3 linked regions of the Kluyveromyces lactis genome follow. The protein of the gene in region 1 interacts with the protein of each later gene in a biochemical or structural test. Links are inferred from orthologs where the notes say so. Each region holds a gene or a part of one and is shown in the gene's direction. Other genes may lie near its edges.

Region 1 (4,480 bases):
CTACCATCGAAGCCTTCTTGGTTGGTTCCGAAGCTTTGTACCGTGAAGATATGACTGCTTCTGAATTGGCAGATGCTATCTCTGATGTCAAGGACTACATTAAAGACATCAAGGATTCCGATGGTAACTCTTACAGTGGCAAGCAAGTCGGTACTGTTGACTCATGGAACGTTTTGGTCGATGGTGGATCTGCTACCGCCATTCAAGCTGCTGACTTTGTCATGGCGAACGCCTTCTCTTACTGGCAAGGTCAAACTATGGATAATGCTTCTTACTCGTTCTTCGACGATATCATGCAAGCTCTACAAACTATCCAAACTACCAAGGGTTCTACTGACATTCAATTCTGGGTTGGTGAAACTGGCTGGCCAACCGATGGTACCAACTTTGAAAGTGCTTACCCAGGTCTAGATAACGCTAAGCAATTTTGGGCTGATGGTATTTGTGCTATGAGAGGCTGGGGTGTCAACGTTATCGTTTTCGAAGCTTTCGATGAGGACTGGAAACCAGATACTTCTGGTATTTCCGATGTTGAAAAGTACTGGGGTGTTTGGGATGCCAACAGAAACTTGAAGTTCAAGTTGGATTGTGATTTCAGCTCTTAATTTTTGAGTTGAGCTTCTCTTCTCTTTAACATACAATACAGATTGTGTGTATTTTTTTTACCCTTCCACTTTCTCATTTGATACCGGTTATAATTGTTGACTTGTTGTTTCCTTTCGTCTCCTATTAACAACTCAAAATTATACAAATGAAGCTTTCATGTCACATTTAGGTCACACATTCCTTCAGCAAATTGATCCATTCATACTTGTTACTACGGCTGTTATCTAAAGGTGATATTAACTTATTACCTACTTGAATTCTTCAAATTGCGATACTATCCATTTTAATTCCTGGACTAAAAAAAAAAAAGAACATTAAAAGAGTACTTTATATATCACAACAGCAGAACATTTTCATGAACCATAAATGTATCTATCCCGTTGTCGAAGTATGCCCACAAAACATCGATCAAGAAGGCATCGTATATGGTATGAAAGCTTCAAAATTATTTTATTTCTTAGCAACATCTATATTTCACTTTTCATATAACTAAATTAAATCGATATTATTTTATACCCTATTTATCATCGATGATTATACGCAATCACACAAAGTTAGACGTCCATTTTGGCCTAACATCAACCGGCGACAGACTCCCACTTCACTTTGTTCTTTGCAATGGTACATTCATTTATCATTACCCGGCTACCAATCGTGTTCCATGATTATTTGAAAATTTTCACAAATTTTCACTCAGTGAAAGCTCATCTCAAAAGAAAATCTGAAAGGTTTGAAATCGAATTAATAGATGAAATTCAGTTGAGACGTGTAATAAGCAATACTTTTCAATTGTAGGTTGGAATCACCAGGTCGTAACAGGGAGACTAGGTTGAGATTAGTACGTGGTATTAAGGAAATAGAACAACGTTAAGCGATAGTCCATTCATCATGTCCCGTTTTTTTTTGAAGACATATGAGTACGATTCAACGTCTTCTGGTGAAGAAGAAGACTTGTTATCTCAAAGTGAAGAGGATTTAGTTTCATCCTCCAGTGAGGAAGAATTATCTGATGACTCTTTCTTCAACGACTCTGATGAGAGTTCCGATAATGATGAAGACAATGATTCTGATAGCAAACCCTACGGCCCTGACTGGTTCAAGAAGCCAGAATTCAGAAAAGGTGGTGGTTCAGGTGCTAACAAGTTCTTGAAATCTACCAACTATTCATCTGATGAAGACTCATCCGACGAAGAAGATGGTAAGAAGGTTGTGAAGTCAGCAAAAGAGAAGTTGTTGGATGAAATGAAATCTATTTACCAAAAAATTGATTCCGCAGAAGCCCAACAAGATTGGGAATCATTATTAAACCATTTGGAAACCATTTTGAAATTATACACAAAAGCCCAACAACAAAACTACGGTACACCTAATATCTTTGTGAAGTCATTGGCTAGATTTGAAGATGCGGTATCTGCTACTTCTCAGGATGAAATTAAGAATAAGGCAGTTGCAAGAGCTTATAACACCACCAAGCAAAGAGTTAAGAAGTTAATCAGAGAAAACGAAACCTCCGTTAAGGCTTACAGAGAAAACCCAGAGGACTTTGACAAGGAACCTGTCTTAGATGCTGATATAGACTCAAGAGATGTCTCTGCTACTCCATTCTCCTTGAGTGGTAAGAAGAATTTAGACTTGGCATCCGTGGCAAATAACATTTCTGAGCTAGACTTTTTCAAGACGTTGAATATTATCATCGATTCTAGAGGTAAGAAAAACACTGACCACACAGAACAAATTAAAACCACCGAAGAACTATTGAAGATTGCCAAGACTCCATATGAAAAGATCTGTACATACTTGAACTTGATTCCAATCAGATTCGATGCATCTGTATCCTTATCATACCAACCACTAGAACAATGGAAAGCATCAAAGGATAACTTGGATGGTTTATTGGAAGTGCTGGAACAAGAGATCGACCACTATCAAGTTACTGAATTTGCCCCAAGAAATGATTTCATTGAAGATGAACCAGAAGCTAATGAGCATGGTGTCAAGGAAATTTTGGGTTCTATCTTCTCTATGGTTGAAAGATTGGACGATGAATTTAGCAAATCCCTTTTGAACATTGACACTCGTTCCAGTGAATACATGGAACGTTTGAGAGATGAACAATCTATTTACAATTTGATTATCAGATCCCAATTGTACTTTGAACGTGTAACTGCAGAAGAACACCGCGATAGACTTTTGGCCCGTGTCTTCAACAGAAGACTTGAACATATCTACTACAAGTCCGACAAGCTCATCTCTATTATGGAAACCGTTGCATGGAAACAAATTCGTGAAGGAACTGCGTCCCTTGAATCCTCTTTCGTTCGTTTGAATGAATCAGATTCCGCAGATGCCGATTACAACTTCAAGGTCATCTCTGAATTGTCCGATTTCTTAATTAAACAAAAGAGTAACAACGTGTTCAACTACAGAAAAGGTACCTTGTACAAAACATATTATATTGCATTGAACCAAGAATACGCTCCAGCAAAGAAAATAATGCTTTCTTCCGATATTGCTAAATTCATTTCAGGCTCTGATGCAGCATTACAAATTTTGTACAATAGATGTGTTATTCAACTTGGTTTGGCTGCATTTAAGGCTGGTTTAATAAATGAATGTCACCAAGTTTTGAACGGTCTTTGTATTAATCCACATCTAAGAGAAATTTTGGGTCAACAAAGTTTACAAAGAGCTAATGCGAACAGCAATGTCGTGCAGGGTGCCCCTGTTGAACAATTATGTCTTCCTTTCCATCAACACATCAACTTGGATCTAATTGACACCGTCTACATGACATGTTCTTTATTACTTGATGTGCCTCACATGGCAGCTTATTACAGCGGTATTAAGGTCAAGAGAATCCCAGTTTTCCAAAAATCTATCCGCCGTATTCTAGAGAGTTCAGAGAAAGCTATTTTCCATGGTCCTCCAGAAACTCTAAGAGATCACATTCTTTATGCTGCAAAGTCAATGCAAAAGGGTGATTACTTACAATCGATCGAATATTTGAGGAAAATTTCTGTGTGGTCTTTGTTGAGTAAATCTGATGATATCATCAACCAACTAAGTGAAAAGGTTCAAATTGAAACTTTGAAAACTTACATTTTCACTTACAAGAGATTCTACTCTAAAATATCCATTTCTAAATTATCGAAATTGTTTGATCTTGATATCGAAAAGGTTTTGGCTGTAGCACAAAACATCATCAATGATTACGAAGTTAAAGCCAAATTGGATGAAAATAACGAATACATTATCTTCGAAAGAGGCGAAGAAATCACAAAGTTAGAAGAAGTTGCCATCAAGTTAGTTAAAGAAACCAAGTACCACTCTGAACGTTTACGCCAGTAAACATTTTCATTCTTCGTTCAGCAGATAAGGTCAGTTTCTAATTGTAGCACTCACCTTCCATACACATAACAAAATTTGCTCTTCCTTCTTTTGTTCACTTACCGTGCGCATATTAATAGACAGAGTCGTTGGCAAAGAACCTTTGTTTTAGCATTTGCAATAAATACTAGTATTTGTACATTATCGATAATATATAACATAGTTCTCACTGTAGGCAATTACGTAGTTTTTGAAATCAATTAATTGAATTTTGGAGACATATAACATCTCGAACATTGACTCGTAACAATACAGTTTATGCGCTGGTTCATTCTATATATATATGTATATGATACACATTTATGGACAAATGTATGTTATCAGTTGGAATAAACCACTTACCTTGCTAGTTATACATGGTTAGAGGAATATCATCCCATATTTATTTATATTATCGGTTAATGAACGTCTGACGAACTGGAATAATTTTCAGTTCCTTTTTACTATAACTTTTCAATGATTTTGAATTAACTATGTAATTGATGGT
Region 2 (3,947 bases), on another chromosome or scaffold:
GGGCAACCAAACTAAAAACCAAAGACATTGCAAACATGAAGGTGACTAGACAAGATTTCTTGAATGCGTTAGATGAAGTGACTCCTGCGTTTGGTGTTAGTGAAGAAGATTTGAAGACTTGCGTAGAAGGTGGAGTCTTTAGGTTCTCCAACTCCGTAGACGACATTTTGAAAAACGGTGCTAGATACGTCCGTCAAGTGAGAGAGTCAGACAAATCAAGACTAGTATCCTTACTAGTGCATGGTCCTCCAGGTTCAGGAAAAACTGCCTTAGCTGCCGCCATTGCATTGAAGTCTGAGTTCCCATTTGTTAGATTAATTTCCCCTGAAGAAATAGCAGGTATGTCGGAAACGGCCAAGATCGCATACATCGACAATACCTTCAGAGATGCTTACAAATCGCCACTTAACATTCTAGTTATCGATTCGATAGAGACTCTAGTTGACTGGGTTCCAATTGGTCCAAGGTTCTCTAATAATATCCTACAAGTACTCAAGGTCTATTTGAAAAGAAAACCTCCAAATAATCGTCGTTTGCTTATCATCTCTACTACGTCCGCTTACACGGTGCTTAAGCAAATGGATATACTAAGTTGTTTCGACAACGAAATTGCTGTCCCAAACGTATCAAACCTAGATGAACTGAATAACATTATGACAGATTCCGGATTTCTTGACGATGCTGGTAGAGTCGAAGTTATCCGCAAATTATCCCAAGTTACATCTACTCTCAACGTCGGCGTGAAAAAAGTACTCACAAACATTGAAACAGCAAGACACGATGAGGATCCCGTCAATGAACTTGTTGATCTAATGGTGCAATCATCTTGAATTATACTATTCATTTCTAATATGATACATTTATATATATATATATATTATACATATGTGATATGTACTCGCGACATAGCACATAAACTTCAACTTCGTTCTCAATGATATCAACTTTTGATGAAGGTTGAAATTTTTCAGCATGCTTCCGTTGAAGATCAAAGAGAATAAGTGAAAAAAAACTTTTCAGTCTATTTATGTGAAACTTCTTCCTATTGCACCTTGCAAAATAAAGATATATACTTGGATCTAGTCTCTGATTTAGAAAGGGTAGATAACAACCGTTCTCGACCCATCGATTATACTAGCATTTCATCATGGCTCCACCGGCTTTACGTCCTGAGAATGCCATTAGAAGAGCTGACGAATTAGTCTCTGTTGGCGAGCCAATGGCTGCGTTGCAATCTCTATTTGATTTATTATCTTCAAGAAGGTCTCGTTTTGCTGATGCTGCCACTTTGGAACCTATAATCTTCAAGTTCTTGGAACTTGGTGTTGAATTGAGGAAGGGTAAAATGATCAAGGAAGGTTTATACCAATACAAGAAGCATATGCAACACACTCCCGAAGGTTTGATTTCTGTAGGTGCTGTTGCTCGTAAATTCATCGATTTGATCGAAACTAAGATGACCAACATCCAAGCGCAAACTGATGCCAAAGAAGAATCCAACAAGGACCAAGCCGAAGAGGATCTAGAGGGTGGTGTCACCCCAGAAAATTTGTTGGTTTCTGTTTACGAACAAGAACAAACTGTTGGTGGATTCAACAATGATGATGTTTCAGCTTGGTTGAGATTTACCTGGGAATCTTACCGTACCACTCTAGATTTCTTGAGAAATAATTCTCAATTGGAAATCACGTATGCGGGTGTTGTTAACAGAACCATGCAATTCTGTTACAAATATAACCGTAAGAATGAATTCAAGCGTTTAGCTGAAATGTTACGTCAACATTTGGATGCCGCAAACTACCAACAACAGAGATATGGTCACCACACTGTCGATTTATCAGATCCTGACACTTTGCAACGTTATTCTGACCAACGTTTCCAACAAGTTAACGTTTCTGTTAAATTGGAATTATGGCATGAAGCTTTCAGATCCATTGAAGATGTTCATCATTTGATGCGTCTCTCGAAGCGTGCTCCAAAGCCCTCTGTGTTGGCCAACTACTACGAAAATTTGGCCAAGATCTTCTTTGTCTCTGGTAACTATTTATTGCACGCTGCTGCATGGGAAAAATTCTACAATTTGTACTTGAAGAATCCAAATGCTTCCGAAGAAGACTTTAAGTTCTATTCATCTCAATTTGTCTTGTCCGCTTTGGCAATTCAATTGGATGACTTACCAATTGCTGGTTTCGATCCTCAAATTCGTCTATGTGACTTACTAGACCTTGAAAGTAAACCAAAGAGAAAGGATTTGATTACTGCTGCTGGTGAACAACAAGTCGTAGAGAAAGCTGACGCTGATATTTTGAAATTCTTCAATATATTGGAAACTAATTTCGATGTGAAGTCTGCTAAGTCTCAATTGTCTGCACTTTTGCCAAACTTGGTTGAAAAGCCATATTTCGCCCAATACGTGGCTCCATTGAGAAACCTATTCATCAGAAGATCCATCATTGAAGTCTCAAAGGCTCAAACATCTATTCACTTAGTTGAATTGCATGAAATGTTGTCACTGCCAGCTCCTTTCGAATTATCTGTTTTTGAACTAGAAAAATACTTAATCCAAGCTGCTATGGATGATTATGTTAGTATTTCCATTGACCATGAAACTGATACCGTTTCATTTGCCCAAGATCCATTTGACGCTTGGCAAGCATCTCTTGTTGAAGTTCCCGAATCTAGCACTTCTGATGAAGCAAAGAACTCTGAATCCGAAGAGGAAACCTCCCAAGAAACGCATGCTGATGAGGAACAGAATGAACAAGTCTTCACTCGTAACTCAGAAGTCCGTTCTAAGTTGACTGATCTATCCAAGATCTTAAAGGCCAACGAAGAATACGAAAATGGTTCTTACTATTACAGAGTCAAACTTGTGCGTGAAGAATTGATCAGAAGAAAGGAAGAAGTTATCAAGTTAGAAAAGGAAGCTGCTGAAATTAGAGCTAAGAGTAACGCTGAACGCAAGAAGAGAAGCGAAGAAGAAAACAAGATTCTTGCCAAGAAGGCTCTAGAAGAAAGGCAAAGACGTATGGCTGAGGAAAAGGCTGCTGTTGAATCTTCTATGGAGAAAGAAGCGGAACGTCGTGCTGAAGAAATGATGGAACGTGAGAGAGAAGCGATCCATGAACAAGAAATGAAGAAGTTGATTGCTGAAACTAATGCCAATGGTGTCATTCATATTGATCCAAAGGAAGCCAAGAACCTAACAAGTGATAAGATCAACCAAATGGTCATTGAACAAGTAGCCAAGAACAAGAAGGATTTGACTGAACGTATGACCTATGCCTTCAAGAAGTTAGATCACCTGGAAAGAGCCTATAGACAAATGGAATTGCCATTGTTAGAAAAGGACGCTGAAGAGCAAAAAAAGAGGGATAGAGAGAATTACGACAATTTCAAGAAGAAGTTAATTGAGACTTCCAAGGCCGACTATGAAAAGAAATTGGCTCTACATCAACGTTTGAACAAAATCTACAGTACTTTCAACCAATACAAGTCATCTGTTATCGCTGAAAAGAAGGAAGAGTTAGAAAAACAACGCGCCTTGAAGGAAGCTCAATTAGAAGAAGCTAAGAAGCAAAGAATTGAACAAGTCCGTAAGGAACGTTATGAAGCTAAAGTTGCTGAAATACAAGCTGCAATTGAAGCTGAAGCTGCTGAAAAGGAGGCTTTGGCTAAGGAGGAAGAACTTGCCAAGAGACGTGCCGAACGTGAAAGAATCAACAAGGAAAGAGACGAAATTGCTAGAAAGCAAAGAGAAATCGAAGAACTTCTTGAAAAGAAGAACGGTAGCTCTAGATCTAGCCCTGTTCCTTCTACTCCAACCCCAGCACCAGCACCAGCACAAACTGCTCCGGTATCCAATAAACCAATGTCTATGGCTGAAAAGTTGAGACTGAAGAGAATGAATGCTGGAAGAGGTTAATATCTTGCATATCTCATTCAGA
Region 3 (3,086 bases), on another chromosome or scaffold:
ATTGAGACTTCAAGTAATGCAAATAAGCTAATTGACCAAATGCTTCATAACTGAACGGCACCCCAATTATGACTTCTTCCATGCAATATATTGCTTGACGTAGGTCCCCAGCCTCCTGGTATTCTTGCGAAAGTAACGACCATATTTCTGCATCTAGAGGAAACTTCTCAACCAGATCCAGTAGTTCTTTTACCCATTTTTCTTTACTCATCGAAGGTCTCTCTATCGCAAGTAGCCTTTTCTTCATCTGTACGTAGTCTTCTGAATCAGTAGCTATTTCCAGCTGATTCTTGATCAAATCCTCGATATATTTCTTAGCCGCATCATCGGATCGAGTGACCTGTATTAACATAGAGTGCATCACATGAATTCTTGGAGAATCGTCACCTAGACGATCTGTCACAGTTTTGTACAATGTTTCAGCCTCTGTGTCTTCACCACGAACAAGACAAAGATAAAACAATAATTCGACCATTGAGAAATAACTAATTTCGTCAAGCCCATTTAACCCAGCATCTATCAAAAGTTTCGTTTCCTTATAAGCCAAATCAATTTCTTTAGGTGGCAGAATGGCCCATGCGCCAGTCTTATGGATTGCCAGTAATTTGTTCTTAAGTAAATCCATGATATGAACAAAGTTAGATTTCGACCCTAAGATGTATGTGAGATTCGAGCACAATTTCAACACAGTAAATTACTCACTAAATTCCACGAGCAGTAATTGTATTGAAGGTATTCAAACATTTAACACCACCATACGTATCTCACCCATGTTATACCCTGTAATATGTCTCTTACAGAACCGATGCTTAAACAATCACAGAGCCAAATGAATCGTTGGAGCTAAAGCACGTGACACATGCTCCGTTTCGACATGTATTTTCATATCACCATAAACGACGAAAATTTTTCAGGAATCAAGGCCTCAGTATCTGATTGCCACACGCGAAGAGTTGAAGTTGAACTTCTAAGAGATGAGATGAACTTCTTCCATATACATGATTCAAGAAGGCGTTAATGACCCCGTTTTACAGTCCAATACAGGATCAGTTCGAACTTACTTTTAAAAGTTTTTGTGTTTTCCAGACTTGAAGAACGTCAAAGACACGGTGGTAGCAGAAACAAGTGACTAGAGATTAGTAACAGTAGCCGAAGATGTCAATCAATATTTGCAGAGACAACAATGACCCTTTCTACCGTTATAAAATGCCTCCAATTCAGGCTAAGATTGAAGGTAGAGGTAATGGTATCAAAACTGTTGTTATGAATACCATGGATGTTGCCCGTGCTTTAAACAGACCAGCTCCATACATCATCAAATATTTCGGGTTTGAATTGGGTGCCCAAACTGCTATCAATGTTGAAAATGATCGTTACATTGTCAATGGTGCTCATCAACCAGCCAAATTACAGGACGTATTGGATGGTTTCATCACTAAGTTTGTCCTTTGTGGATCCTGTAAGAATCCTGAAACTGAAATTGTTATCACTAAAGATGGTGATTTGGTTAGAGACTGTAAAGCTTGTGGTAAGAGAACCCCTATGGATTTGAGACATAAGTTGTCCTCGTTCGTCTTAAAGAACCCTCCTGACAGTATGAACGGTTCCAAGAAAAAGAAGAAGGCTGCCACTGCGTCTGCTAATGTCAGAGGTGGTGGTCTTTCTATTAGTGATATCGCTCAAGGTAAATCCCAAGCTGAAGCTGGTGACGATGCCGAAGAAAACGATTCCGATGATGATGAATTGGCCAGACAAATTAATGCCGCTGCCTCTAACTTGGCTACCATTGAAGTCAAGGATGAGGACTGGGCCGTTGATATGTCTGAAGAAGCCATCAGAGCTCGTGCGAAAGAATTACAAGGTGAAGCTGACAAAGAAACTGGCGAATTCTCCAAGTTGGAAGAATTTGGTGAATGGGTACTACATGAAGAAGAACTACCTACCGATATTGAATTATACAAAAAGATTGCAGAACTCGAGCTTCTGGAAGATCCAAAGGTTGCTGCAGTTCTGGCCCAAGTTCTTTTCGATGAAGATATCGTATCGGATATCTCTGAACATACTGCGTTCTTGCAAAAATTATTGAAGGACGAAGACTTCGAAAAGAACTTTTTGGGTGGTATTGAAAGATTCCTTGGACTTGATCACCAAGAATTGATCCCATTACTACCAAAGATCTTGGTCCAATTATACAACAACGACATCATTTCCGAAGAAGAGATTATCAGCTTCGGTACCAAATGCTCTAAGAAGTTTGTACCAAAGGATGTTTCTAAGAAGGTTCGTAGAGCTGCCAAGCCATTCATCACTTGGTTGAAAACTGCCGAAGAAGATGATGAGGATTCGGAATAAAGAAAATCATGATCTTATAAGAAAATGGTCAAAGTTCAAATACTATTCAAATTTTAACCAGATTTTTCGGTGTTTCGTTTTCTATTTATCATCCTAACCATCTCCTTGTTTTGCATTAACAGAATAAATATCATTTTCATTTTATCAAGAGCGAACTAAATCTCTTCAATATTTATCCTTTAGCTCTGTAAAATACTGTATGTATACTATCATATATACGCATATGTTTAATACATTCATGACCTTGCGCATACATCATTAGCGGCTCAAGAATGGCACTGATAGGTGCGCCGTGCCGACCTGCCCTTGTCTTCTTATAACCTATTTATTGTCTTTCAATATTCAGCTGTGATGATCCTTTTCTCTCTTTTGTTTACACTTTCGTGGAAAAAGAAGACACAATTTGAGATCAAATCATATTTACATCCTGAATGGACAAGAAGAATACTAGGTCCTGTCAAAAGAGAAGAATAGGGTGCGAATCTTGTTGGAAGAAGAGTAAAAATACACTTTCATCAGACGGTTTCATTACATGAATGATCTGTAGGTTTGATTTCTATGGCGTACTGTAACAATGAATGATTCCAACCTCTCGTCTGCAATGGATCTTTCATTCCTGTCAGAGGAATCGAGTTTGCAGCAAATAGGCTCTTTGAACACGCCTAAATTGCCCAAAGCAGAAAAGCGTAAACGTGGTAGACCGAGAACTAAACCTGTTGTACCGGTTGAATTAG

What was found.
Region 2: the proteins of NIP1 (region 1) and RPG1 form a complex in vitro, tested with the Saccharomyces cerevisiae proteins (5 studies listed by BioGRID, with this or other methods). The link is inferred for Kluyveromyces lactis from reciprocal best matches to the Saccharomyces cerevisiae genes NIP1 and RPG1.
Region 3: the proteins of NIP1 (region 1) and TIF5 form a complex in vitro, tested with the Saccharomyces cerevisiae proteins (6 studies listed by BioGRID). The link is inferred for Kluyveromyces lactis from reciprocal best matches to the Saccharomyces cerevisiae genes NIP1 and TIF5.

Annotation. Positions count from the first base shown.
Region 1 is NC_006042.1:279,629-284,108, reverse strand, and holds NIP1 (translation initiation factor eIF3 core subunit c), read left to right. Parts: upstream 1-1,494; coding exon 1,495-3,954; downstream 3,955-4,480. Other genes in the region: BGL2 (glucan 1,3-beta-glucosidase), read left to right, coding at 1-605. UniProt on the Saccharomyces cerevisiae protein: Component of the eukaryotic translation initiation factor 3 (eIF-3) complex, which is involved in protein synthesis of a specialized repertoire of mRNAs and, together with other initiation factors, stimulates binding of mRNA and methionyl-tRNAi to the 40S ribosome.
Region 2 is NC_006039.1:1,266,388-1,270,334, reverse strand, and holds RPG1 (translation initiation factor eIF3 core subunit a), read left to right. Parts: upstream 1-1,147; coding exon 1,148-3,925; downstream 3,926-3,947. Other genes in the region: AAA family ATPase SEC18, read left to right, coding at 1-830.
Region 3 is NC_006041.1:551,952-555,037, reverse strand, and holds TIF5 (translation initiation factor eIF5), read left to right. Parts: upstream 1-1,155; coding exon 1,156-2,352; downstream 2,353-3,086. Other genes in the region: EMC2 (Emc2p), read right to left, coding at 1-625; BIR1 (survivin), read left to right, coding at 2,927-3,086. UniProt on the Saccharomyces cerevisiae protein: Catalyzes the hydrolysis of GTP bound to the 40S ribosomal initiation complex (40S.mRNA.Met-tRNA[F].eIF-2.GTP) with the subsequent joining of a 60S ribosomal subunit resulting in the release of eIF-2 and the guanine nucleotide.